Linked DNA regions of Nothobranchius furzeri. The protein of the gene in region 5 purifies or fractionates together with the protein of the main gene of each other region. This does not show direct contact. Links are inferred from orthologs where the notes say so. Each region holds a gene or a part of one and is shown on either strand. Other genes may lie near its edges.

Region 1 (3,500 bases), on a different chromosome or scaffold from region 5:
ACATGCTGGAGCACTTCAGGAGGAGTCTGCAGGACACAGCCAGAACACCAGATTCCTCGTGGGTTGGTCTGACCAGTAAAGTGTGGTGAATAGGACGCTCACCAATAGATGTTAGTTAAAGGTGCATTATGGAAGTGTGACAGCCAAAACATGTATAGAAATAATAAATGTCTTCTTCATACGTTCTCCTGCAATGCCCTGGTCCTGTAGAATGAGCCCTGGCATTTTTACTGTGATTGCCTGTTTTTCTGTAAAATCACAGAAAAAGAGAGATGCTCGGGTCGAGCAGGCTGCTTCATGCGCGTTCACGCTCAGGCATCGCCCGTAGCATTTGCTATCCGTAGCTTTAGCAGCAGAGAGAGAGGCAGTGCCACTTTGTCGCTGTTCCTAACGCCTAGTGACAAAGCTAGCTACATTTCTGAGGACCCTTAGCTACTTTCTGTAGAACTTTCTTCTAGATATTTCCTGCTAATTAGCAACAAAACAGCCATTTTCACTCCGAACCGTTCTTTGGTTTGACGTTGTTTCAGCTGTCATCAAGGACATAAATGTTACAGATACAAGGGACGTCACTGGTGCTCTAGCTCACCTAGTGAGATGTTGAACTCTCGTGCAGAAGACCCGGGTTTGATTCCGGATGTGAACATAGATTATTTTTTACTACATTAATGGTATATTTTTTTTACAGTAAGATGCCCAAATTTTTATTTGAGACTCGCCGAACGGCATTGAATTCACAGATAAAAAAGATGTGGGTTCAACTTTCATTTGGGAACAATTTTTCAAGCAAGGGAAGGGAATGATCTGAGCATGCAGGAGGACTGACCCATCATAAACCTTTGTCGGCTGTGCTGAAGAGAAAGCTACAAAACCACATTATTTAATTAATTAGCTGCACGTTCTCCTGTCCTCTGGGCCACACACACACACACACACACACACACACACACACACACACACACACACACACACACACACACACACACACACACACACACACACACACACACACACACAGGACTGTCTCAGCTGTTATTTTCGTTAAGGAGTGTGCACGTACAGCATGCACGCCTCTACTATTGAAGCTGCTGTTACGCTTTTGGCCTGAGGGGGCGATCGCGAGCATAAAAATTCAAAACTCCGTAAAGTCCCTTTAAAGATTCTGAAGAGACAAACATAAAAGTGTCGTCGTTTGCTTTTGTTCAGAGTAACAAAGAAAACCAAAGGACATACCGGTCTCCTGGCTTTAGCAGCGTGACTTCTGGAGGACTGTCAGGAACAGAAGACACACGGTTAGTATCTGCTGGTGTGTACTGAAGCTGTACAGGAAGACCAGCAGCACACCTCTCATGATGCCGGAGCCAAAGAGGAGTCGTCGATATCTGAAGCTCAAACTCTTTAGACGCCTTGTAGCAGAAGTTGCTACAAAAACACTACAAATACAAAAATACGTCAACATGCAGACGGAACATTAGAGCTGCACGTGAAAGCACCCACCTTCCGTTCTGTGATGTCATAAACTCGGTTTGTCTGAGTGGATATTTTGTACCGCTGTGTGGGGATCTGAAAAACAAGGTGTGTGTGTGTGTGTGTGAGACAGTTTAAGGAAGCAAACATGGAGACTTAGGAGTTTTTATGCTTCAGTGACCTTGCCCAGTTTTGTTGAACAAAGAGGATAACCACACAGCTTAGCCAGGAACCTCTCCTCCACAGCATCTCTGTAGTTAGCTGCGGTGATGAGCCTGGCCTGTAAAAACACAACAAACCGTTTCCGTAACGTCATCTTAGCCTCAGTGGCGTCGTTTTACTTTCAGGGGTCAGTGATGTTGTGAGGAGAGCCAAGACCGAATACAAGCAGCAGAAATCATCTGCTTTCACAGCCAATCAGACATGTCCTGTCGGATGGAGAACCCAGGATGGGCTCAAGTCTGGACCGGGAACTGACCCGTCTGGGAGCCCAGTTACAGGCCCCAGTCCCGGGTGAGGGGCAGCGAGAGGGGAAGATGGAAAACATCATTGTTTATGTGCATAAACAACAAAAACATGTACACAGTCAACCAGGACGTCCTCTGACACGTTGCTCTCAAGGAGGCGCTCCACCACCTTCACGGCTCTTCTCTCCAGCTCCAGCCTCTCCCGCACCACCTCCCTCCTGACCGAGACACAGACTCATGTTAGACACCAGAAGGCTTCGTGCACACGTCCACCAAGAAGAACACGTTCTAGACCTTCGAGCCTCTTCTTCAGCCGTCAGAGCTGGATGGGGTTTCCCACCTGTCACACACACACACACACACACACACACACACACACACGGTCAGGAGTAGTAAAACAAACACAAAAATGTTGTCGCCAGTAGAACGAATGATTACCGATCATCTACACGATGAACGAGGGCAGATCTACAGGCGTGCTGCTCTTGTTCTCGTGAGGTCAGACAGAAGATAAAGTCTTTGTGGAAGCAAAGACATCTTGGTTTGGATTAAAGGAAACCGGTTAATTGATACAACCTCATCAGGAGAGGTGGCTGAGACCACAGCAGTGAACACAGAATGAACGTTTTAATCATTTATTTCACAAACTGGACCAAGCCGTTTCCTGAGAGGTCCTCTAAGGTGCTGAAACCTGGAGAAGTGAGCGGCTTCCCAAGCTTTGCTCTGACACTTCTGCTGCGAGCTGGTGATGAACTACAGAAGGACCTGGTGATGAACTACAGAAGGACCAGGTGATGAACTACAGAAGGACCGGGTGATGAACTACAGAAGGACCTGGTGATGAACTACAGAAGGACCTGGTGATGAACTACAGAAGGACCTGGTGATGAACTACAGAAGGACCTGGTGATGAACTACAGAAGGACCAGGTGATGAACTACAGAAAGACCAGGTGATGAACTACAGAAGGACCAGGTGATGAACTACAGAAGGACCTGGTGATGAACTACAGAAAGACCAGGTGATGAACTACAGAAGGACCAGGTGATGAACTACAGAAGGACCTGGTGATGAACTACAGAAGGACCTGGTGATGAACTACAGAAGGACCTGGTGATGAACTACAGAAGGACCTGGTGATGAACTACAGAAGGACCTGGACCTGGTGATGAACTACAGAAGGACCTGGTGATGAACTACAGAAGGACCAGGTGATGAACTACAGAAGGACCTGGTGATGAACTACAGAAGGACCAGGTGATGAACTACAGAAGGACCAGGTGATGAACTACAGAAGGACCTGGACCTGGTGATGAACTACAGAAGGACCAGGTGATGAACTACAGAAGGACCTGGTGATGAACTACAGAAGGACCTGGACCTGGTGATGAACTACAGAAGGACCAGGTGATGAACTACAGAAGGACCTGGTGATGAACTACAGAAGGACCAGGTGATGAACTACAGAAGGACCAGGTGATGAACTACAGAAGGACCTGGACCTGGTGATGAACTACAGAAGGACCAGGTGATGAACTACAGAAGGACCAGGTGATGAACTACAGA
Region 2 (2,582 bases), on a different chromosome or scaffold from region 5:
CAGAATAACATTAAGCTCCTTTTTTAATTTTCCCTGGCACGAACAAATTTTACTCATTTTGTATTTTTTTTTAAATTAACTATGAAGCATAACTACAAAATTCGACATTTTGGGAGTAAAATCAGATCATTAATATAATTAATATAATAAATATGAGAATATCTCAAATTTCTGAGTATGGAAAAAATTATATTTAAGTGCCCTCTTATCAGCAGATTCAAACATAAATTATTTCAATTTATGGGACCACAAAAGTAAACGGAGTACTGACTCTCCTAACAAAGATCAAAAATGTTCATCTCAAACCCGTAACATGCCAAATATTTCAGTTCTTGGAACCGATTCTGAATCTTTGTGAATCGATTCTGAATCTTTATAAATACGAATCCCGATTCAGACTTGAATCAATTTTTTTCAGCACCTCTTTTATACGTTATGAAGCTGCCAAAATATTTCAGCAACTGGGCATCATTTAATTCATTTTCAACAACATTTCGTTGGATATTTTCAGAGATTAACGATAAAAACTACACATTGTCTCTTTAAGTTCAAAGCAAAAAAAAAAAAAAAAAAAAAGCAGCAACTCTCTTTAGGACCCTTCAGAAAAGTGCACCAGGAGTCACTATGAGGCCTCGGTGGGTGCTGTTGGACTTTGGCAGGGAGCGGGACTGGATGGGCAAGAATCGTCTGGACTTCCAGGAGTCCGAAGAGTAGTTTTCCTCTTCCCGTTCCGAACGGTCAGTTCCCCTTTGGGCTTGAATGTCAGAGGCACAAATCCATCTGCATCTGCCACAAGTACAATCCACAACGGTCCTGGAAAAAATACACAAAACTGTTGTTTATTCTTTGTTGATTTGACCCAAAACGTAAGACTGTGACAGCAACAACGAGGGTGTGTATTAGCTCAGGAATGGCTCGTCTCTAACAAAACCTCTGCTTAGGAATGGTAAGCTGCTTTTGTTTTAAACCTTGTAAACAGACCTAGGCTCCTAATCGCTTCTAATTATAGCATCGATACAATCACAGTGTTGGGCAAGTTACAAAGTAATTCATTACATTACAATATTACTGATTTCAAAATGTAAGGCATTACACTACTTTTGCATTACTTTAAGTTACTTTCACCAAAACAACTTCAATATGAATCTGGTAATCTGACGCTCAGTGAGCTCATGACATATATGTGGAAGGTGATGTGGTGTGTGAGCTAGGGCTGCTGTTAAAAACAGTCAGATATAATAACGGTGTTTTAAAATGGTTGTTTATTAAATAAAAGCAACAACAATCTGTACTCTCAGCACGCTGCCATCTTATATTAACTGAGCAGGGAGTGAGGGGGGTGGGGGGGGTGGCTCGGCTCCAAGCCTATATTTACCTTGGTCCCCAAATGCCTTGATACGGCCCTGGATGTGGGACTGACTTCTGGGGTGATCTGATTCTATCACATGTATAAATGTTAAATGCTTATATATTATTGCTTTTCACTGGTAAAAATGTGTATTGGGGATAAATCTACCTACTTTTTTTCTTTTCAAGCACTTTGTTTTGTTTTCTTGATTTTATTTGAATACTTTCCGGCCCTTTCTCTCTCTGACCTTCCTGCATGTTTTGTCCGTCTTCCAGAAAAACAATTTCCTAGATTTTCTACTTTCTAACTAATCAGCCAAAGGGATCTACCAAACCAGCAGCAATGAGTTGAAATCACCGGCGCACAGATTATGAACTCAGCTGAAAAGTACATGAAGTACCAGAGAATATGGGCTGATTTAAACGGTCGCAAACAAATGACTTTGTTTTGGTGGAGCGATTTTGTGAATATAACAGTGGCCGCGTGCAGGACACGGCTGGAGTATTTGAGTTATTACCGCTGCTATTATCCTCTCTGCTCATAGAATGCCCGCAAACCTGAGTCCATAAATGACGTCATATATGTGGATACTGGATCTTTTGTCAGGCTTCCCGCAATTTGAATTTTTAGGAAACCCACATCTTTATTCTGGGTTTAAAAATGCGTCGTAATTACCGCGTTACTGACAACTGTACCGAGTAAATATTACCATTTTCTTTCCCCGTAATGCCTTAAATTACCACATTACAGCAAAAAGCAATGCATTACAGTAATTAATTACTTTTGTACCGCGTTACTCCCAACACTGTACATTAATGGAAGAACAATGGCAGAGCAAGTTGTTTAGTTACAAAGTTAAAAAGATGTTCATGATATATTTCTTAAAGCAACAAAAATACATTTGGAGAACAACGGAACATTTAACACTGACCCAAGCAAGGTAAGCCCATCTTGGAAGTGTTCTAAAAATTAAGGCAGGAGGAAGACCTGCTTAAAGGGACCGGAGGGAGTTTCCTCAGAGGTTTCCATTAATTAACCCTGTACCCTCTGGAACGCCGATAACCTGGCAGTGAAGTGATGCACGTACCATACATCATCTCCACGATGGGGAGGTTGAAGAGGTCCTGGAGGACCCGTAGACAGAGCCTCCCCTCACACAGCAGCACTGGCCTCCTCTCATCAATGAACACGTTCTCTGATAGCTGCTTCTTCATGTCAAAGATGAAAAGAGTCA
Region 3 (3,999 bases), on a different chromosome or scaffold from region 5:
GCAACTAGACAGGAAAAGAAAGTGGCCGCTGTGACAGATAAAGGTATGTTTTGAGAACTTTTAAGGATTTTCCTCCACCACCCAGGCCTGTACATCACATTTTAGCTCCAGTTTATGGTGATTATTCCGCTTAAGGTCTTCTAAAAACACAAGTAAGCTCTTACTGATCAATAACCACACCAAAATGTTATATAGATGTGTATAATGGTAGCTTTCTAACTCGGTGGTGCTGCTAGCTAGCTGTACAGGAATCAAAACAGAAGCAGGTAGGCTTCCTCGCGATGCGTTTGCGCGTGAGCCAGAAGAAACACCGACCGTCCGCACTTTAAATGTAAATACTTTTTAAATGCTTATTCCAGGAGTCAATTTATTTTCTTTTGTCTCAATAACGACTTACCTAATAGCGGAGGAGAATTTTCAACAAGAAGAGATACGAGTAACCTCTGACAGACAGGCAGCGAGAGCGGCGTCAGAGCAAATAGTGCCACCAAAGATGGGTAGAAAAAGAAGAGATGAGCAGCTTCGCTTTACATAAATATTGTGCCCATAATTGTTGCGTTTAAATGTTCTCTGCCACTGTGTGAAGATTTGAAATTTATATTTATGGAACAAAATACACACTTTGTCACGTGCACTAAAAACAACACGTTCGTTAGTTTTTCTTCATTAAAATCATCAAATATAATCCTAAATCAAAGTATCTGATTATTTAGAACTTTTACCTTTTACTATTTTTAATTAACCAATTTATATTATGTATAAAGTATACATATATATTTTTGATGAAGTCAATAAAATACCTTCAAATATATATATATATATATATATATATATATATATATATATATATATATATATATATATATATATATATATATATATATATATATATAAGGAGACAAGCGCCTTTTACTTCATGCAGACCAAATAATGTAAGAGTGAGACCTCTTACTATCATCTGCACTTCTAGCGTGCACTGCCAACACAGATATTTTGATGGGCGTGCGCAGGCGCAAATGAGGTCTAAAGTAAAAACAAACGCTTATTGACACAGATGTGAATGTTTTAAACCTGGCAGAAAGATAAACTGATATTTTAAACAACTGTGAATTAGTAAGTGTTTTGGGTCGCTTGCAGCCAGATGGAGCTAGTTGAAGTGGTGAGAAGTTTCTCCAACACTAGGTGGCGCTGTGGAAATGATCACACACACGTGTAGCTGTCTTGAACTGTGACCCGGATGTTGGTCTCGTCTTTCTAACACATGTACAGCAAAATAAATGCGCGGCTTACCTAAAATGGACCAAAACGCGAAGAAAACGACCTCACGGTCGCTGCTATCATGTGGCAACGAAGGAGGTTTGAATGTTTTTTCTTGTCTGAAAGTGTGGAGAGTTGTTTATTAAATATGTGCTGTATAATTGACAAACGGTGGTGTGTGTTCACCAACCCTGGTTTTATACACTATTGCCTTTGAGGAAATGTTTTAGCTTCAACTCTGTTAAGTAAAACAATGACATCTTGTCACGCTATTTTACTAGCCAGTGTTTTTAAGGATTTAGAGTTTTTCTTTGGACACCGAAGTTATCTTCTCACAATGGTGTCCAGTCCTGGTTCCCAAGGGCCACCATCCTGCATGATTTAGGCAAGGCAGCTTTATTTATATAGCACATTTCAAACGCATGCAATTCAAAGTGCTTTACAAAAGCAAGAACAGCAAACACAGTAAATCAAACAAAGAAATGTAGTAAGTAATTTCAGATTAAACAAACAGATAAAAGGCATGGTCAAAAGGGTAGCAGTTACAGTGCAGAAAGTGCAGCATAAGAAACATTTATCCAAAGGCTGATGACTACATGAATGTTTTTAATTTTTAATTAAAAGTTACTAGAGTTGGGGCACATTTGAAGTTATGAGGAAGTTGATTCAATCTGTGTGCAGCTAAAATGACCAAAAGCAGCTTAGCCCTGTTTGGTTTTGACCCGAGGTACTACCAGCTGAATGTTTCCCAAGCTTCTGAGAGCCTTGCTGGGCGTATATACTGGAAGGAGATCCGACATGTACTTTGGTCCTATACCATTGAGAGATTTATAGACTAGTAAAAGCACTTTGAAGTCAATTCTAGATGTGTATTTGATTCAGCACACCTGGTTTTAATAAGTGAGTGATCAACAGACTCCTGCAGAGTTTAATTATCCTCTGAGCAGGTGATTAAACCATTTTATCAAGTGTTTTTGAACAGGTAAACAACTAAAACATGCCTGATGGTGACTCTAGAGCGGTTGAGGGGGACTTGTAATGACTTTTAAAAAGTGAAATAAAGTAGAAAAACAACTATCAAAGCTATAGTTCTAACAACAAAATTGTCATGAATTTATAAGTATTAGCTGAAGTGTTTTTTTTATGCCCTGAATTCTTGTATCTATTCTTTTCTCATTTGTAGTAGTTTATTGTCAAATTACAGAAAACTGGGGCCACATGACTTGACAATTTCAGTTTTGTGGGTCTAAGGCCCTGTCTAGCCGGGGATCTGCCAAAACGTAGATATTTTTCTACGTTTTGGCCTGTCATCCACACGAAAACGGAGTTTTTTCACACGAAAACGGATCTTTTAAAAAACTCCGGCCAAAGTGAAGATATGCGTTTTCTCCGTTTTGGGTGTCTGCGTGTGGACAGACAAAACCGGAGTTTTATGGTCCGCAACGTCACTTTCCGCGACAGAAAAATGCTGACATCACGTGTGCGACCTGTGTTTACACTAGCCGACAGCATGGATGCCCTCAGAGCTGCGCTCGCTTTATCAATTGTCCAAGCGCTTTTAGCTTGTTTGTTTTTGCAAGCGGAATTACTGCTCCTTGCGGAAGACCACAGACGAAGGACGAGGTTAAGAACGGGGAAGTAATGCCGCCTACAGGTCTGGCATATCCTTAACAACGTATTTATCCGGGTACGTGTGGACAGTTTTTTTTTTAAAACGAGGTGGTGTGGATGCAAGTTTTTGGAGGGGCGGATATTCGTTTAAAAAAAAAACCCGGCTATGTGTGGACTAGGCCTAAGACCGGTCTTGTCTTAATTTTCTTAACTGAAGATGATTTGTTTATCTGCAACTAGCTCTCAGTGAGAAACTGCTGCTCAAACGAAAGGCTGGCAAGTCCCTGAAGACAGAGCGAGTCCCAAGAAGTAGCAGTGAGTCCTTTTATACAATCCCAACATTTGTTTGTAGGAACACCAAGCAAGGTCAACAGTTTGATAGGAACCATGACATGTCTGTCTGGTTTTGTTTGTGCGTCAGTGTTGGAGCGGCTACAGAACTTCCTGCCTCAGATGGCTGAAGCCAACATGAAGTTGACACAACAGATGGAAAAGGCTCCTCCGGGTCACTTTGATATTGAGAATGTGGACAAGGCAGAGAAGGTCATAGAGATGGTGAGTACCATTTTGCCACTCATTTAAAGTGTGACCTTTCTAGCCTCCAACAGAAGAATACATTTTGCACAAAAGCAGAATCTTTTTTTAAACAATGGCTGGGAAGATAAAGCTGGTTGTACACAGCTTCAGCAAGCCCGTTACTTCTGTCTGAACTTGTCTCGTAACCAGCTTCGGACATTCTGGGTGATAGTGCCCTGTTCTTCAGTGGATTTAAGCTTTCTTCCCTTTGCTATCGTTGGCTGAATCTACGATGCATAAGTCAGGTTTCTGTTGGAGACTTCTGAGTTTAAACATCAATTTACCAGCAATAATAATCGTTCCTACCATCCAACAGCAGATTTTCCATTTCATGGTGGTTATTTAGTGTGCGATGAGCTAATACATATAGAATTAGAACTATGGAAAGTGTCAGAAGCTTCGGTGATGCGTGTGCCATCATGTGCATCGCAGATCATCCTAAAAAGTTGAACTGGGACTGTCTAGGGCATGTCAGAATTATGTTTATTTTCTGGTTCCTGGTGTTAAAGGGTGGTCCAGAAACAATGTCCCACAGGACACCAACAGCTCTCAGCT
Region 4 (4,185 bases), on a different chromosome or scaffold from region 5:
AACACGCAGCTAAAATGATGAAACTCCATTGTTCCCTTTGTGCTCTGATACATGCGTGACACTGTAAATGATATGGACCCATCTGTGATGTGTCGTGCACCCTAGGGAACATTAGTGCAACCCGTTGTGATATTGCCATACAACTTTGTTTTTGGTTCATGCTAGCTGACACAATCAACAAGAACACACAGCAGGATAGTTGTGCCTGACCTCTGACAGTCCAGGCAGAGCGTCGTCATGCAGGCGGGACAGTTGAGAACAGCATCACTGTTGGGTAAACACCGAGGTTGGCCGGATTTGGACCGGGAGGCTGCATTTGGTTGTTTTCTGCTGTTATACCTGAACAGGAACAGAAATGGGTAAACGGCCTACAAGAAGACAAAAAAAGTACTAGTGGCAGTGTTTTACAGAACTACCGTCTGGCGTCTACCCAAGCCTGGTCCCTGTCATCCTCGTCTGGGTCATACAACAGCTCATCATTGGTAGGAACTACACGCTGTCTCCGCTTCCAGCTGGTAGAGCTGCCTGTAACAAACAGGTGAAATTAACCAAAATCAAAGTGAAGATGAAGTCGTGTAAAGTGACGTCGTACTTGGTGTGTCCTCGTCCTCTGAGTCAGAATCAAAGTAAACTTCGTCATACATCGGTGGATTGGGAACACTGGAACCTCCTACGCCACCGGCACCTGCTCCTTCACCACCGCTGTCTGAACAAAGAGAAACTTCATCACCACCACTTAAACTCTCAGGAATGATTTCATAGCAGTCGCGGAGGGCCACAATGATTATTTAATCACACACAATCATTAGTTGCCACGTCCAAAACAGGACACAATTTCCTTGGTCCAACTAAACTAGTTATAATAACATTTGTTGGTGTCCTACTAGCTGCTGGTGCCCAGGTTCCCTCCATGTTCCTGATGGTGGAGCTGAGCTCCGTCTCCATTTCCTTTTCAAAGTCATCCTCACTGGACGACTCGCTCTCCCCCGTCAGATACTCTCTGATCAGCTTCTTCTTCTGCTCTGCTGTCCCGTTCAGAAGCACATCCAGCTCATCCTCTGAACTGAAACACAACCACAAGAAGAAAATAAAAAACCTCAAATGTTTGGTCTGAGATGACCAGGGATGTGTACTTTTGAAATTCTGGCGATACGATACATATCACGATACAGGGGAGACGATACGATATATCAAGATATATTGCGATACATTCAGTCAGACGTTACAAGCAATTTTTTTTACTGAATTTATTGTAAGAATGTTTAACAGTCCAAACTGATACGTAACATGTTTAACATGAGGTATCTGAACCATGATGGAGGGATTTACATTTCAATGGTGGAAACAAAACCTGTTGCACACTGCTGCAAACTAGCGGGCGGCGATTAAATTGCACAAAACGAAAAGAAAATACACAAATGTTTGCATGTAAATTCTTTCAAGAATTAGATACACGGCTTTTGAATATCGATGTAATATTGCTGGAAAAAATATCACAATATATTGCCATATCGATATTGTCTTACATCCCTAGAGATGACTGAAAATCTACCCGACAAAACAAATGAGCAGCACTGGTGCTGCATCCCTTATTTTAACTATTACTACACAAGTGATTGACAGCTGCTGTCCGTCTCCATCTTCCGTTCCCATCAAAGTTATTTAAAATAAAAACAAGTTGAGTTTATAAGCTCGTCTGTTAGTAGCGATAACCACCTTACAGCAATACCAACAAACTAAGCACAATATAAGGCTACAAACTAGCTTCTTTTGGACAAACTGTTCCCTTCACTTCCACCACGAAGAAAGAGGTGTTCCAGTGAGTAGTATGACATCACATGCAACGGGAAAATATTTCAGCCAAGTAACTCTATGAGTCCAGGTCACATAAAACAGAAACACCAGAGCAGAACAACCAGATAATGCTCGGGGCATTGTGGCCTTGGGGTCTTGGATTCAGTGGGATAAGGTCTTGAGTTCTTCTGAGAGAGTGAATCTGTTAGCGGACTGAGTATGTACTAGCATCTCTTCTCGTCGACAGTGTTTTAATAATACTGTATAAAAGTTGTGTTGAGTTTCATCTGGACCACAGTGTACAAGTCTGCTCTATTATTTTTTTAACAAGATGTACAAAACTCTCGTTCTAGTTTTGTCGTAAATTAACCCAAGAAAACGAGTTTCTAAAAGCCCGTGTGGGTTCAAACCAAGCAGCTTAAATCCATGTTCATTTCCATGGATCATAATAAACAGGCTGTTTGAACCAGTAAAGGGACGAATCACCAGTTAATTTAAAACACCAACCTCACCTTAACGCGCCTCAACGCTGTTTCAGTTGTGATCATTTTGACCCTCTTTTTTATTTTAGAACGATTGCTCACAAACAGATGTCACATAAGATAGAAGGCAACATGCTTTACTCGCGTTTATACCAACATCAATTACGTTTATGAACAGTTTGTTTACATTCGCATAGTTTTGATCAGGCTTTGATGAGCCACCTATGTCCGATGCATCCACCACACACCATTTGAGCTGATGTCTAGTTCATGTAGAACACCGGAGATGCTAGCCACGATGCTAATGTTAGAAACCGTAGTTTATTTGATCCCTACCTGCTCGCTGCCCGCTCCTCGTCACTTGGCTCTTCGACTTCATATGAGTCAAAGTCCTGTGATTTATTCAGCATGTTCATTCTGACGGCTGAAAGTTTAACTATGGGAACATAATTACTTCTACGTAGTGACAGAAAACGACTAGTTCTATGTCACCTTTCCACTTGGTGGAAAACCAACTCCAAACTACCCTAGCGCCCTCTAGTGGACTGGAGGGTTGAGGCAGTTTTTTTTTAAACTGTTTTGTCCGGGAGTCGAACTGCGTGGGTTCGATTCCTGCTCAGTGCGAATACAAAAATAGAAATGTATGCGAAATCTGCATAATAACACTAATTATTACGTAAATAATTTTTCACAATTACCACTTTAAATTTAATTATAATTGTGATGAAGAACCACTAAGCTGTGAAATATATTTGTGATAATACACATGTAAAATTATAGAATATTTATGAAAAATTACATCTGTGTTGAAATATATTTGTGATGTTATCAATGGTAAATGGCCTGTATTTGATATAGCGCCTTCTAGAGTCATGGAACCCCTCAAGGCGCTTTACAACACAATCAGTCATTCACACACACATTCACACACTGGTGGGGAAGAGCTACGATGTAGCCACAGCTGCCCTGAGGCGCACTGACAGAGGCGAGGCTGCCGAGCACTGGCGCCACCAGTCCCTCCCACCACCACCAGCAGGCAACGTGGGTTAAGTGTCTTGCCCAAGAACACAATGACAGCGACAGACTGAGCGGGACTCGAACCTGCAACCTTCCGAAAACATATGTAATAAATGTATCTGTGTCCAAGATCATAAAAACATTAAAAGATTTAAAGTGTTTTTCGTTTATATATATATATATATATACATATATAAATACATATATACATACATATATATGTATATATGTGTGTATGTACATATTTATACATATACATATATATATATATAAATATATAAATGTATGTATATATATATATATATACATATATATATATTTATATATATATATATATAAATATATAAATGTACATACATACATACATACATACATACATATATATACATATATATATATATATATATATATATATATATATATATGTATATATATATATATATATATATTTATATATATTTATATATATATACATATATATATATATATATATATATATATATATATATATATATATATACATATATATATATATATATATATATATATATATACATATATATATACATATATATATATATATATATATATATATATATATATATATGTATGTATGTATGTATGTATGTATATATGAAACAAAAGAAGAAGTCTCAAAAGTCTTTAAAAAGAAAAATCCAAAAGTAGAGAGTGCATGTATATATTAGTTAACAACAGCCTAATGCAGCAGCACACCAGCAAAAACAATGTTAACATTTCACGGCATTACGGTAAAAACTAAATCCTGTACCAACTTAATCCCCCTAAACAAGCTGTAATGTTTTAATTGTTAAAAAAGTTTTAGGTTACAAATAAAAAGTATAAAAGATAGTTACTTCTCACATCTCAGATT
Region 5 (4,056 bases):
GGGTGATGCCTCTGTTGGTTGCCATGATGAGAACAGGAGAAAGGTCACTCTCCAAGGCCCGGTTCAGGAAGGAAAAGCACTCCATGTCCAGCATATGGACCTCATCGATAAACAACACCTGGAAAAAACAACAAACAAAATGATTTGTTATGTAGTTTAAGCAGGTAGAAACCCCAAACTTCAAAAATCTGCACACACTAAAACTTACTCCGGGAATAATCTCTGCCTTGCCTTCTTCCCTCCACTCGCACACTTTGGCATTTATCTGCTCCCGGACCTCGGACTTGATCTCTCCGGTGTCTCCGGAGAAGAGAGCCAGGAAGCCCTGGGTGCGGCTGTTGATGACATCGATCTCATGGAGGGACACCGTATGTACCACCTCCTTTCTCTTCTGCAGCTCTCCCTCCGGACATTGGACAAACTGGGTCTACAAAAGACAAAACAAAGAAAATAATCCAGCAATCAGTCAACCTGCATCCTCAATCTGAATACAGTGGCATCACACCTGAGCGCCCATGGCGTCGTAGTCTCGGGCTCTGGTGAAGGAGCGACCCAACTTGCTGATTTTCCCAGTGGCTTTATCAATTGTAATAACATCTCTGTAAAAACAGAGTAAATAGATTTGTTCTAACGTCGCTCCAGCAGAGAAAAACGAGACTAGAGAGTCTTGTTGTGCGAACAGAACCTACCCAGCTTGAACCTTCTCCTTACTGAGACTGTCAATCATCTTGTTGCCCAGGTCATAGATAGTCTCCATCTCTGTCGTCTTTAGAGTCAGCTTGCCTACTTTTGCACCCTGACGGAAAGAAAATATAATTTTTATTAAACAGGACTCTTCAAAGAGAATAACATCAATGTATTTAAGCTAACAGAAAGTGGGAGACAATAAATTCTGAGACTACTAGCTAACATTAGAGAAAGTATCCCACCGTTCCGGTGGCCGGTCTATCAATCTGGATTTCCACAACCTCTCCTTCAATAATCTCCGTCTCCTCTCTGTAAATACGGAAAAAACAGTCAAAGGCAAATCATTTCATACAAAAATAATTAAATAATGCTGTATCTGTGACCGCTGTCTCACTTGATCCTCACTCCAATGGCTTTTCTAAAAGCTTGGCTCAGTGCCTCGGTCTTGCTCATTTCCAGGGAGAAGATCTCGCTACCAGCCAGAGCTGTGAAGGGCGTGTCTGAGCCGAGAGACTGTGCGATGCCTATAAGACAAGCTCATCAGGAACAGGATGCAGGAACTCTTGATTCAAAACAAAATGCAACTTGAAACATTTACATCCATGGACAGCTTCCAACTCGGCTCTCACCCATTGCAATGGCAGTCTTTCCCGTGCCAGGTTGGCCAGCGATCAGGACCGCCCTGCCAGCAATGTGGCCGTCTTTGATCATCTCCAAGATGACCCCTGCTGCCCGACGGGAAGCCAGCTGTCCAACCATCCCCTGAGAAACCTGCAGGTGAAGAGGATCAAGTCTCCTTCAGACAAAACCTCACACACATTAATGCTGGAAAATTAACTAAACCTAAAAGAACAACACTGCTCAATATTCTAAAGTGTTGGTAGATAATATAAGAGAAAATGTCTGAAGTGATGTGATGTTGAGGTTACACAGGCTATCTACTGTATTTTCAGTTTAACCAGTTCTAGCAAAGTATATGCATTAGTAGTAACCAAACAACACATTTTACAAACAGCTTTTTTCTTTTAAAAGACTTAACAGAGTTTCTTTAGAGAGCATGAACAGGAAGTCCACAGCAAATGAATCAGAGACAAGAGTACCTGTCTTGGCTCCAAAGCATCATCCAGGCCAAGGCCCCGAATGTGAGAATGGGCCCCTGAACGCAAAAAGGTGGATTTGAAGGAAAAATAAAGAGCACACACAACTAGCAGCATCATACACCCTTATGATAAATTAGCTTTTTGATTAGTTAACGGTTCAAGACGTCCACACCTACCAATTCTTTCAATCCGTGTGATATCACGAACCTCTGGAACCTTTGTAGCCGCCATCTGCATCAGGTGAAACACAACAAGAAAAACTTGTAATATTAAGTAGATTGTTTTACGTTTCTGAATAATTAAGCAATGCAACTTCTACTGACCAGTTATTTGTCTGTATCTCACATTATGACTCAAAATAAGTCAAATTATTAAAAACAATAGTTAATGTGTAAACCTGATCATACTAAAACGGTAAAGATCAGATCCAAAACTTGATTTGGCAATGAGACACACCTTTTAGTAAATAATGTACCACAATAAAACGATATTTATGTTGTTTGCTAGATCAGAAAACGTCTGAGAGGTCTGTTCTGTCCAGCTGGTTGTCATAGTGACAGTTATAACCCATGCGCTACAATACATTAGCTAGCGTAATACAAAGTTTCGATCACTTTCCAAATATTAATGTCATACGTGAAAGCAAGAAAACTTTTAACTGCCACCACATTAGTTATGTAACATACCGAAACATGTGCGGCTACATTGCCAGCGTTAAAACAGGAATAGAATAGCATTCCGTGGCTAATGTTGTGTTAGCAAACAGCTAGCTTCATTCATCGCTTTATTTAAAGCTAACATTCAAAACAAGCAGAATGGGGACGTCAAACACTCCAACATCATAAGACTTTCTTCAAATTACACAGACAACAGCAATCGGGCAGCATAAACTGTAATATGTTTGAATTTTATATTATTTTATAATAAGCGTGTTCACTCACCTGCACCACTACACTCACCGAAACGTGAGAACGAGGCGCTCCTTTCTGAAAGTGCACCGAGCAAATGCGTCCGACTAGAAACAAGTAGTTTTTTTTTCACAGGGGCACATGGGGGAGCGTTGTTACCATCGGTTGTTACTGAATTGTTTTTGACCAAGAAGACAAAACTAACGAGGTAAATACGTTTCATTACACGATTCTTATAAAGGTACATAAAATGCTAATTCAAAATTTTATAAATGTTAACTCGTTCAATGAATGTTTGTAGAACTGGGTCCGTGCATTTCGTGTTTTCGTCATTTAAATGTTCTCATTGGAAACCAGTAGAAACAAAAGAATCGCTTTTTTCTTAAATTTCAAATACAAAATAATAAGCCATTGCTAAAAAAGGATGAGCACAACTATTAAAACATATTCTATTCACATTTGAAATAGCAAAAATATTTTTAGTTACAAATTTCCAAGTTGCTTTGAGTAAAAAGTCTTCTTACCAGTGAGGGGTCCTTTAAAATCTAAAACACTATAAAAAATTATAAAGAGGTAATCCAGGTAGAAGACATTTGTGTGCTGGTGCATTTAACAAGAATGAAAGCAAAAAATAAAAATAAAGGGACATTTTCTTGTGACTTTCTTTTTTATATACTTTCAAATGGAATTGTCCTGTTGTGAATTGATGACATGACAACAATTGCAATCTACTGAGCTTTCTCTTAAAATAATCTAAACAAATAAGCAATGAGAATAAGAATGCATCAAGCACAAAACACATTAAAATACTATAATTTTGAAAATAAGTCATTTTAAACCAAGGCATTTGGAACAAATACGTGAGGGACGTTATTTCTCAAATACACACGTACCATTCAAATTATCTTGTGACTATTATGTAAGTTTAAATGTAATAAGTTTTTTATTTCAAGTTTTGAAGGGTTAATCAGATATATTTTTGTTCTATATTAAAAAGAAACACATCCACATGGCATAGGAAGGCCAACATTGTCTGATGGAAAACGCCATAATAAAGCTCTAAAAGCTTTTCTCCACCAGAGGTAGCAAAGCTCATAATTTAAAGCTGTGGAATTTTTGTTCATGTGAACTTGCAGTGATCAATGCAAAGGAATATCAATCAAAATATCTGATAAGATAAGTTGGCTGGCACTCCATCCTTAAGTTTTCTTCTGACAAGTTAGATTTCGTGTTTTTATACCTTTAGAAATGCAAAAAAAAAGGGTGTAAAGCAAAGTGTGCTCAAATCTTTCTGGAGCAGGTTTTCATCTCCTTCCTGTCATTAGAATTCCCCCCTAAAAGTGCAGCTTTCGGGATTCCAC
Region 6 (4,248 bases), on a different chromosome or scaffold from region 5:
GTCGATGTCCTGTTCGGATACTTCTGTTCCCATGGAGATCTCAGCAGCTAGCTTCACCTCAGCCTCGATCTCCTCAGGGAGGATTTCTGACAGATCGGTGCTGGACACGTTTGTACGATCACCTGGGGCGGACAAGACGACCGTCCAATCAGTAAGACACTTCATAGTAAAAAGGTAAATAATTGCCCTTCCTTTATGGGTTTTGATAATTAAAACAAAAGCTGTCGTCTCTTTTTCACATCAGCCCAGGTGTTACTTAAACAACGAACCTTACCGACTTTGAGGACGGTTTTGCAGTAAGCTAGGTTGTCCGTGACGACCTTCCCCAGCTCGGGGAAGTGCCAGCCGTACCACTCTCTGCAGCGCATGATGTAGTTATTAAGCTCCTTGTCCAGGTCGTCCAGGAGGGCTGAGGACAAAAACACCCAAGCTCCGGTTATTGTGGACAAAGACAGCCAGGATCACAGAAAAGGACACCAGGGACACAAACTGGGCTTTCCTCAATTTTTCAAGATGTCTGAACCCACACGGCCCGGCGATGCTGCTACTAGCTTCTTCTGTGGGGTCACTGGAGGTGAGGTTCAGCCTAACCAAGTATCCAGGAACTTCTGATTTAAGCTTTTATCACGTCAGTTTAGTTTCCTCTTATAATATTTATAAGATCAATAACCATTATTATCAAGGGTGCTCTGACATTATGTTAAATCCTGACAAAAGACTAAATTTCTTCATAAATATTTATATATTAATCATCTGACTAACTTAAATCTTTCTATTTAAAATAAATGAACATTCGGCTGAACTGACAGTTTGATATTTCTTAAATTCAGATTTTTTATAGAATGGCTGAAATATTACTAATCCACCTCACAGGGGAGAACATTCAATCAAATCCTAAAAAAAAGAAATTTCTGAAATAAAATAGTTACTTTCTACAGGTTTCTGTAGATTTAGCCCGCTAATGTCTAACCCTAACCAGCTAATGCTGCATTCAGGGGTCATTATCACTAATATTGTATGAAAACAACACGATGCTTCATCAGCGAAACACTCACAAATGGCCTGAACGATCATCGTGTCCACTTTGTCCGGGCTGAACTTCAGCTTGTAGCGGGACAAACTGCAACAGGAGAGGGTGTTAGCTGATAAACAACAGACCAGGCGATAAACAGGAGCACAGGGGCAGCCTCAGTGGTAGTGACGAATGCTGATGGGAACATCTACATGAGGATCTCAGACAGCAATGTGTAATCACAGGCAGCAGCAGCAGCTGTAGTATAACCCCGGGGTGACCCTGACCTGTGAGCCAAGCCCAGAGACATGGCGCTCATCTCTCTGGGAGGAAGTCCAGAGATCAGACTCTCCATCTGGCTCCTGATGCATCTCATCAGCTCGGCTACTGCGGGGCTGTAGACGCAGTTCAGGTCCAGCTTGTCCTAAGAACACAAACTTGATCAGAAAATCTTTAACAGACAGATCTTCTGACGTCTGCAGAAGGATGAAACTCACTTTAATAACTCCACCCAGTTTAGCATCGCTGATGGCTAGCTCCTCATGAGCCTCCTTGGCCACGACTTTCTTCAGGATCTTCTTCAAACTTTTGCTGATTTTTCCCTCAACCAGAGCGGTGGCAGCTTCACAGCAGAGGTCAGAAACAACTGATTAAACCTAGATAAGCACACTTTAATAATCCCTGCTCCTATCCTGGACATCTTCTCTTATCTACTGGCTGAAGGGACAGGGTGGTCTCAGTGGTAGTGACGATTGCTGTGGATAACCTCATGCTTTTATCAGACACTGAAATCCATCACAGACCACCAACATAGACACAACAGAGTGTTTTTACCTGCCAGTGCCTCCGTCGTGTCCTGAAACTTCTCAAAGTGTTTCAGTTTCACACTGATGGAGGAAAAACAGATGTAAGCCCCCAGAGTGAGGTGTTGAGCTGAGGGTACTGAGACGTGTTCATACTCACATTTTGTTGGCTTTTTCAGGAGTCTCAAACTCCTTGTACAGGCTGTCCACCTGCTGCAGCTTTGATTCATTTAGGACCTAAAAACAAATAAACTTGAGCAACCAGACAATAAAAGCGTCTGTATGCTGGAAGCTAGGGAACTTGTGCATGGCAAGTGTTGCACCGAGCCAAACTGTCTTTTATAGACTTGAACGAAAAAAACAGCCACATGGGCAACATTGCTCTTGATACTTTGCTAGCACAAACACACAAACACACTTTAAGTGCATTTAGAAGGAACGACTCTACAATAACCTGACCGGATTAATTATCCTTTTATTGAGCGAGTGTACTACATTCTCTGTTGTGTTTGAGATCAAACTCAGCCAGCTTCCAGGAGCGCACGTGGTCACAGGCCCCTAACAGCATGCTAACTCATGTTAGCATTTGAGTTTAGAAACGAAGACGTGCACGTGAGATAGGAAAGCACACGGTGCCATATTCAAGCCCACACAGACACGTTTAGAGCTCGGTTGTTTTATTTCCCCTAATAACACCAACTTGTTACTTAAGGGCAAATTTATGTGTGACATTAGGATGCTAATCGAGGCTAACTACAGACATACGAGCGAAATATCGTACTTCAATCGGTAAACTGACAGAATGAAACACTCACTTTGAATATCGCATATCCAGCGGCGGTTTCAAATAGAACGAGCATGTTTGAAACTGCTCTGTTTTATTAAAGTGCTCTCTTTTCAGAGAGCTGACAGTTTTCGTCTCGGTCAGTCACCGCGATGGTGAGGCTCGGAAACCGCACGCGGTGCAGAGGAGCTGCTGCAGGGGGAAACTTCCGGGTTGCCAGATCCGTTAATTTGAACCAAAATCACCCAAACGTCAGTATTTCCTTTGTGTTTTAGCTAACTCTAAAAACAATAAATGTATTTTAAAACGCCATACACAGTAACTATAATAAATTTATGCAACTGTGTTGTTTTGTGTGTTCTTGAAAGCTTTTAACAAAGTAAATGTAATTCAATTCCATCTTTTTATTCCACCACCTTTATTTTATGATCGCATAGCAAAATAGTAAAACCACGTATTGTATTTTTTACTTATTATTTTTAAATTATCGTTATGTTCATTTTGTTAAAAAGTAAAAAGTTTATACATTTTAATTAAATGTCACAAACTGGATTTGATTTGGCAACGCCAGAGATGCGCGCAAACAAATCTCGCGAGAGGTTATGAGCACGGTATGTTGCTTTCACAGTAAAACTTAACGCCAAACTAACTGTTTACGCACTTTTAAACGATATTATTATTAATGATTCCATCATTAAAGTGACTGATCAATAAAACAGATAATATAATTAAACAATACGTGATGTTACTTAAAGAACAAAATGTAATAAAAGGAGAATTACAAACAAGTAGAGAATAAAAGAGAACAAACTCCCGTAATATAAGAATGACATTTTATGTAGCTAATTTTAAAGCACATAGGCGACTCCAGATGTGTGAAGATTTGTTTTAAAATATTTTTGTAGGAAATCTAATTTTCAGTTGTAATCCGGATAACTTGTAAATCCCAGTTCTGAGAAATTGAAAAGGAAATTCCGATCATCCAAAACGCAACACACTTTTTTCACGGAAGTGACGAACGCGTGAACTCTGGCAAAACACGAGCGCGTGGACTAATACCTTGAGCTAACTTTTACCGTTTTCTGGCTGGTAACGTTGAGTAAGGCACCGGAGCTGGAGCTATGAACGAACCAGAACGCTACCCTCCACCAGACTTCAGCTGTCCCCCTCCAAGCTCGTTCCACACGCCCCAGGAGCAGCAGCAACCTCGGGCCAGCAGCTTCCACCCCAGCATGTGGAGCTGGGGAGAGACGCCGTCCGAGCCCAGCTGGAGCTACTGGGTCAGTCCGAACTGGAGTCACGGACAGGCGGGAGGGTACCACGGTCAGACCCATCCACACTGTGAGACCTTTGGTGATTATGTTTCTAAAAGAGGACACCTCTCTCAATGTTTGTGTTTGGAATGCTTGATTATGGAAATCAATCAAAACCACAATTATTGTATAGTGAACTCCAGATGATCTAACATGATTGTGTGTTGGGAAATACTAGAGATCACATCTAAAAGAGACTGCAGACGGATTTGAGTTTATGATGACTAATTATGAGACCAGAATTACCCACAGTAGACTCTACATTGCAGTGGCCTGTTAGGCTCAATGAAATACAAAACCTACAACATGGGTATTATCAAAACGGAATAAATAAAT
Region 7 (4,042 bases), on a different chromosome or scaffold from region 5:
GTATTTCCTCTTGTTCCGCCATCTCTCACAGCAAGATGAGCGTCAGTAACGTGATACGTCATGAAAACCGAGGGCACTCATTGGCTCATTTCTTCTTCTACGGCTCCACTGGTAGATCAGTGGCTCATTACTGCCACACACTGGCGGCAAATTTAACAGCTTGTAACCGATGTCAGATTGTGGTAAAAAATAGACTTTATGCGGTAAAATATGATTATTAAACAACTAATCGATGACTAAAAAGGTTGTTAACTATTTTAATAATCGATTATAATCGATTAGTTGTTTCAGCTCTAGACAAGACAGAGCTGAAAACGGCTTGTGCATGCGTCGGTCACTGCCTCCGCTCAGGTTTTTTTTTTAATGTATTTATTTTAACTCTCTCACTCACACACACACACCTCAGTCAACATAGTTTTGTTTAACCGTGTGTGGGAAAAATGCCAACAATGTGAGGAAAAAATCAGTTTAATCAAATTAAAATAAATTCTAGTATTTCATATTTCCTAGTTCCTACTGCATGAGTTCAGATGCATTTATTCATGCACTTAAACATTAATGTTCTGATTTTACTGAAAAACTTGTTCTGTAATGGTTTCTTTACTATTGTGATCAAAAATATTTAATCTCAGTTCTGAGGCTGCTCTGTAAATAGTTTTCAGATAAACAATACACATATCAACTTCTGATCAATCCAATTTCAGATTTAAAATAATGCATTGATGTAAACCACACCCACTAATTTACAAATAATAAATAAGAGGTGCATTCATCTGTGTATCTCCTTTGATCCGCATTAGTGATATTTTCAGCACCAGAACAATGAAGCAAAGAAACAGATTCCTGAGTTTGTTAGTAATTTTATTTATTAGGTGCATCTAACCTGTTCTATTTTTCTCTGAAATGAGATCAAATCAGTGCTTCTATGGGTTGTCTCCTCTCTGCACTAGAAAAATTTACTTTATTATAATGTTCACTGTAATGCATCTTGATGTTCTTAACACAAATTAAATCAAAGATATGGGTCAATAATGCCAAATATGTAAATTTTTGTTTCAGTCATTTTTATACTGGCTTAAAAATACTTCATTAAGTCTACTAAGCAGGGGTGTAGAAGGGTTTTTAATATTAACATAAAGGTGAGACTTGTCAATCATTCTCCCCCCAGCACCACCACCGGAAAAATTCCCAGGGGAAACGCTTGTCTGACAGCTAGAGCCGATTCCAACAGGGTTCTAGTCGAGTCAACTCATTACACCAGATGAAACCACAAACATGTCACTAAACAGAGCAGATAACAAATGCTTTATAGCACAGAGTCAATGTGATCAGAATAGGAGGTCGTCTTGGCTGTGGTCAAGTGGGGTCATTCCCCAGACGGCTACTGGTCGTGGTCAGGCAGAACGCCGAGACCCCTCTAGCAGCCGCAGGAGAAGCTCTGATCCAGAACGGAGCAGAAGCAAAGACCACAACAGGCCCACAGCACTCAGAGAATGGATAAACCAGTTCATCATATCACATGACCAGGGTCAAACATGTCAGCAGGCACAAACAGGAGGAGGGGTTCCTGACCTTTAATAACAAGGGCCACTGGGAGGAGTCCAAAGTGGGGACTTTGGTGTCTGGCTGGATTAAAAACTCTTGACTCTCTTGGATCTCCTGTTGAATAAAAACATCAGTTTGTTCAACAGGAAGAGAATCTCCAAATAGATCTTAAGTTGAATAAATTCACACCAACCCCAACATCTTCAGCCACTCTCTTCGACTTCTTCTTCTTCTTTGTGGATGCTGCAAAATAAAAACCAAACTAAAGTAGCATAAATCCTTCCTAAAATCAGAATTCCAGGATTTTCTCAGAGAACAACAATCTACCGGGCCCTAAGTGGTGTTTTGTCACTAGCCAGACTGCTCAAGTGTTCACCAATATTCTAGACGAGTCTTCATGCCCACCGGGAACTGAACATTGCATTATAACAGGTTACTGGTCCCAGGTAACCTCAGGTTAAAGGTCACTAACTCCAGGGACCATACTACACCTGCTTTTTAAAAGAGTGTTCAACAGGTTTATCCAGGCGATTACCTTCATGTGTGCAGGAGCAGCAAACCTGCAGCACGTGCAGCATGGTGGCCCTGGAGATGGGCCCTGCTCCAGTGCAACTCTGAGCCCAAAAGGGCCTTTCAGTGGAAAAAGTACGACCGAAAGAAAGTATTTTATCTGAAGGAACAGAAATTTAAATCCCTGTTGCAGTTTGGTAAATTTGGAAAACTGTAAATGAATGATATAGAGCCCACGTGGCCTGCAGCTGCAGCACGTGGTGGAGCGCACGTGGCTGCTAGCGGAGCTAACAGGCCACTGACCGAGAACCCGCTCTCTCAAAGTTAACTACACTAAACGCTGCTGGAGCTTATGAAGAAAACACGAGTCCACAGAGCAAACCCTTAGTTCTGTTATTGAATTAAACCCAACTACTAAAGCATGTTGGACACGTGGAGGGATTTGTTTGTTTTAACTGGCTCAGACGCTGCCAAACCTCCTCATAGACCAACTTAGGAATTTTTTTTACTGCGATTCCTTCTGCGTAAAACACGCTTGTACGTGCACGTGGACGTGTTGTTAATAAAATCCCTGACTCAGCAGAATTATGTTCAAACTTAGCAATAAATTAAACACAGACTGTCGCTTACAAAACGTGCTCGACACTCACCAGCTTCGTCCGCCATCTTCTAATGAAAGATTCTTCTTCTGCTTGATGTTTTATGGCGGCTGGCACGAAAGTACTTGGTGCACTACCGCCACCAACTGGTCACAGAGCAGAAATGAAACCAAATGAGGTAAATAAATAAATGAATTTGCTATTTAAATACAATTTTTACATAATTAAATATAAAATGGAAAAAAATAAATGTGAAAAATAATTCTGACTTTTCTTTCGGTGGTTCTAATGCTCTTCTTTAATTAACTAGCATCCTGGGGGGAAATAAACACTAAAAAAGGCCAGTGATATTTGGAGTCAGATAAGTCTGTCATTAAGTAGTGAGACACAGATCACTGGTGGGCCTCTAGTGCAATAGTGTGTTAAAAAACGGAAAAAACATGAGATGACTGCGGATTTTAGAAGAAACGGGAACATGCTAAATGCTTGTTCCATCCTGGGAGAGAAGGTGGAGGTGGCGGAGGAACATAAATACCTCAGTGTCCACCCGGACGGCAGACGGGACGGATCAGTGTTTACAGTTAACCCCAAAATCCCACTATCTCCGCGTAGTGGAATTTGAGTGTCCACAGCTGCAGATCCAATAAAAATACTTCCTTTTTTATTGTTTGATAAACGTGTGTCCACTCCAGGCCAGGTGGGGGCAGTAATGCTGCACTGCTACCACCCACAAACGTCGAAGAAGAAGAAGACTCAGCATAATTCAGCTGGATTTTATGCGAGAACTTCAGGATCAGATGGAAGGTGAGGATCTTCTTGATTAGTGAAGTAGTTTTTGTTCAGGTCTGAATAACCTGCAGCTTCCGGGTTAAAACATTCTGATGACGTGTGGATGTTTTACTGCAGGGTTGTAAATGAAACCCTGCAGAACCCAGCTGCCTCATCAACATTCACTAGGACAACTTATTTAGATCGTTCCTGTCCGCAGGTATTCTGTCCCATTACTCGTGGCCACACTGCTCCAGGTGTTCTTTCTCCAGATGTTTCTGCTCTTATCACAGATGTTCAACAGCATCTAGATCAGTTCAGAACAGTCCAGTGCTTGGTTCTGATCCATTCTCGGTGTTCCTAGCTGTGTTTTCTGATGATAGACTCTGGACAGTAGATTTGGCTCCAGAGGGTCTTGGTGGTCCTGGGATTGGACCCTGAACCTTTTCAGGAATCCTTGGTCCAGGTGCAGTGAGTCCAGAACAGAACTGATCTTCCTCCATCTTCTACAGTGTTTCTAGAGCCGATTTCCATCTCATCAATCAAAATGATGCTCTCCCTGAAGCTCGTCAGTGTGGTTTTTGGTGATCTCTAGTCTGTTCTTTTGGGTTTTTCTGTCA

Evidence for each region.
Region 1: the proteins of ruvbl2 (region 5) and rpap2 purify together in Homo sapiens (affinity purification with mass spectrometry; 3 studies listed by BioGRID and IntAct, with this or other methods). This does not show direct contact. The link is inferred for Nothobranchius furzeri from reciprocal best matches to the Homo sapiens genes RUVBL2 and RPAP2.
Region 2: the proteins of ruvbl2 (region 5) and wdcp purify together in Homo sapiens (affinity purification with mass spectrometry; 6 studies listed by BioGRID and IntAct, counting the BioPlex papers as one, with this or other methods). This does not show direct contact. The link is inferred for Nothobranchius furzeri from reciprocal best matches to the Homo sapiens genes RUVBL2 and WDCP.
Region 3: the proteins of ruvbl2 (region 5) and nopchap1 purify together in Homo sapiens (affinity purification with mass spectrometry; 4 studies listed by BioGRID and IntAct, with this or other methods). This does not show direct contact. The link is inferred for Nothobranchius furzeri from reciprocal best matches to the Homo sapiens genes RUVBL2 and NOPCHAP1.
Region 4: the proteins of ruvbl2 (region 5) and eapp purify together in Homo sapiens (affinity purification with mass spectrometry; 3 studies listed by BioGRID and IntAct, with this or other methods). This does not show direct contact. The link is inferred for Nothobranchius furzeri from reciprocal best matches to the Homo sapiens genes RUVBL2 and EAPP.
Region 6: the proteins of ruvbl2 (region 5) and nop58 purify together in Homo sapiens (affinity purification with mass spectrometry; 5 studies listed by BioGRID and IntAct, with this or other methods). This does not show direct contact. The link is inferred for Nothobranchius furzeri from reciprocal best matches to the Homo sapiens genes RUVBL2 and NOP58.
Region 7: the proteins of ruvbl2 (region 5) and dkc1 purify together in Homo sapiens (affinity purification with mass spectrometry; 5 studies listed by BioGRID and IntAct, counting the BioPlex papers as one, with this or other methods). This does not show direct contact. The link is inferred for Nothobranchius furzeri from reciprocal best matches to the Homo sapiens genes RUVBL2 and DKC1.

What each region holds. Positions count from the first base shown.
Region 1 is NC_091751.1:71,625,301-71,628,800, reverse strand, and holds part of rpap2 (putative RNA polymerase II subunit B1 CTD phosphatase rpap2), read right to left. Parts: intron 2,452-3,500; exon of another isoform or gene 2,380-2,451; coding exon of another isoform or gene 2,373-2,379; intron 2,275-2,372; coding exon 2,229-2,274; intron 2,153-2,228; coding exon 2,050-2,152; intron 1,748-2,049; coding exon 1,649-1,747; intron 1,564-1,648; coding exon 1,498-1,563; intron 1,434-1,497; coding exon 1,345-1,433; intron 1,270-1,344; coding exon 1,234-1,269; intron 1-1,233.
Region 2 is NC_091742.1:21,824,876-21,827,457, reverse strand, and holds the end of wdcp (WD repeat and coiled-coil-containing protein), read right to left. Parts: intron 2,557-2,582; coding exon 2,436-2,556; intron 814-2,435; coding exon 623-813; 3' UTR 501-622; downstream 1-500.
Region 3 is NC_091741.1:62,948,264-62,952,262, reverse strand, and holds the start of nopchap1 (NOP protein chaperone 1), read left to right. Parts: upstream 1-1,199; 5' UTR 1,200-1,277; coding exon 1,278-1,356; intron 1,357-3,108; coding exon 3,109-3,183; intron 3,184-3,289; coding exon 3,290-3,423; intron 3,424-3,999. UniProt on the Homo sapiens protein: Client-loading PAQosome/R2TP complex cofactor that selects NOP58 to promote box C/D small nucleolar ribonucleoprotein (snoRNP) assembly. Acts as a bridge between NOP58 and the R2TP complex via RUVBL1:RUVBL2.
Region 4 is NC_091758.1:7,754,136-7,758,320, forward strand, and holds the start of eapp (E2F-associated phosphoprotein), read right to left. Parts: upstream 2,801-4,185; 5' UTR 2,693-2,800; coding exon 2,613-2,692; intron 1,064-2,612; coding exon 885-1,063; intron 707-884; coding exon 593-706; intron 526-592; coding exon 417-525; intron 340-416; coding exon 211-339; intron 1-210. UniProt on the Homo sapiens protein: May play an important role in the fine-tuning of both major E2F1 activities, the regulation of the cell-cycle and the induction of apoptosis. Promotes S-phase entry, and inhibits p14(ARP) expression.
Region 5 is NC_091750.1:65,678,013-65,682,068, reverse strand, and holds the start of ruvbl2 (ruvB-like 2), read right to left. Parts: upstream 2,801-4,056; 5' UTR 2,729-2,800; intron 2,019-2,728; coding exon 1,964-2,018; intron 1,844-1,963; coding exon 1,788-1,843; intron 1,459-1,787; coding exon 1,317-1,458; intron 1,212-1,316; coding exon 1,082-1,211; intron 997-1,081; coding exon 930-996; intron 797-929; coding exon 690-796; intron 600-689; coding exon 506-599; intron 428-505; coding exon 209-427; intron 119-208; coding exon 1-118. UniProt on the Homo sapiens protein: Possesses single-stranded DNA-stimulated ATPase and ATP-dependent DNA helicase (5' to 3') activity; hexamerization is thought to be critical for ATP hydrolysis and adjacent subunits in the ring-like structure contribute to the ATPase activity.
Region 6 is NC_091742.1:74,286,167-74,290,414, forward strand, and holds the start of nop58 (nucleolar protein 58), read right to left. Parts: upstream 2,801-4,248; 5' UTR 2,676-2,800; coding exon 2,631-2,675; intron 2,053-2,630; coding exon 1,976-2,052; intron 1,900-1,975; coding exon 1,847-1,899; intron 1,635-1,846; coding exon 1,510-1,634; intron 1,437-1,509; coding exon 1,300-1,436; intron 1,121-1,299; coding exon 1,056-1,120; intron 410-1,055; coding exon 275-409; intron 123-274; coding exon 1-122. Other genes in the region: FMR1-interacting protein NUFIP1, read left to right, coding at 3,721-3,952. UniProt on the Homo sapiens protein: Required for the biogenesis of box C/D snoRNAs such as U3, U8 and U14 snoRNAs. Part of the small subunit (SSU) processome, first precursor of the small eukaryotic ribosomal subunit.
Region 7 is NC_091758.1:16,263,635-16,267,676, forward strand, and holds the start of dkc1 (H/ACA ribonucleoprotein complex subunit DKC1), read right to left. Parts: upstream 2,801-4,042; 5' UTR 2,722-2,800; coding exon 2,706-2,721; intron 1,789-2,705; coding exon 1,739-1,788; intron 1,660-1,738; coding exon 1,573-1,659; intron 12-1,572; exon of another isoform or gene 1-11. Other genes in the region: cinp (cyclin-dependent kinase 2-interacting protein), read left to right, coding at 3,431-3,458.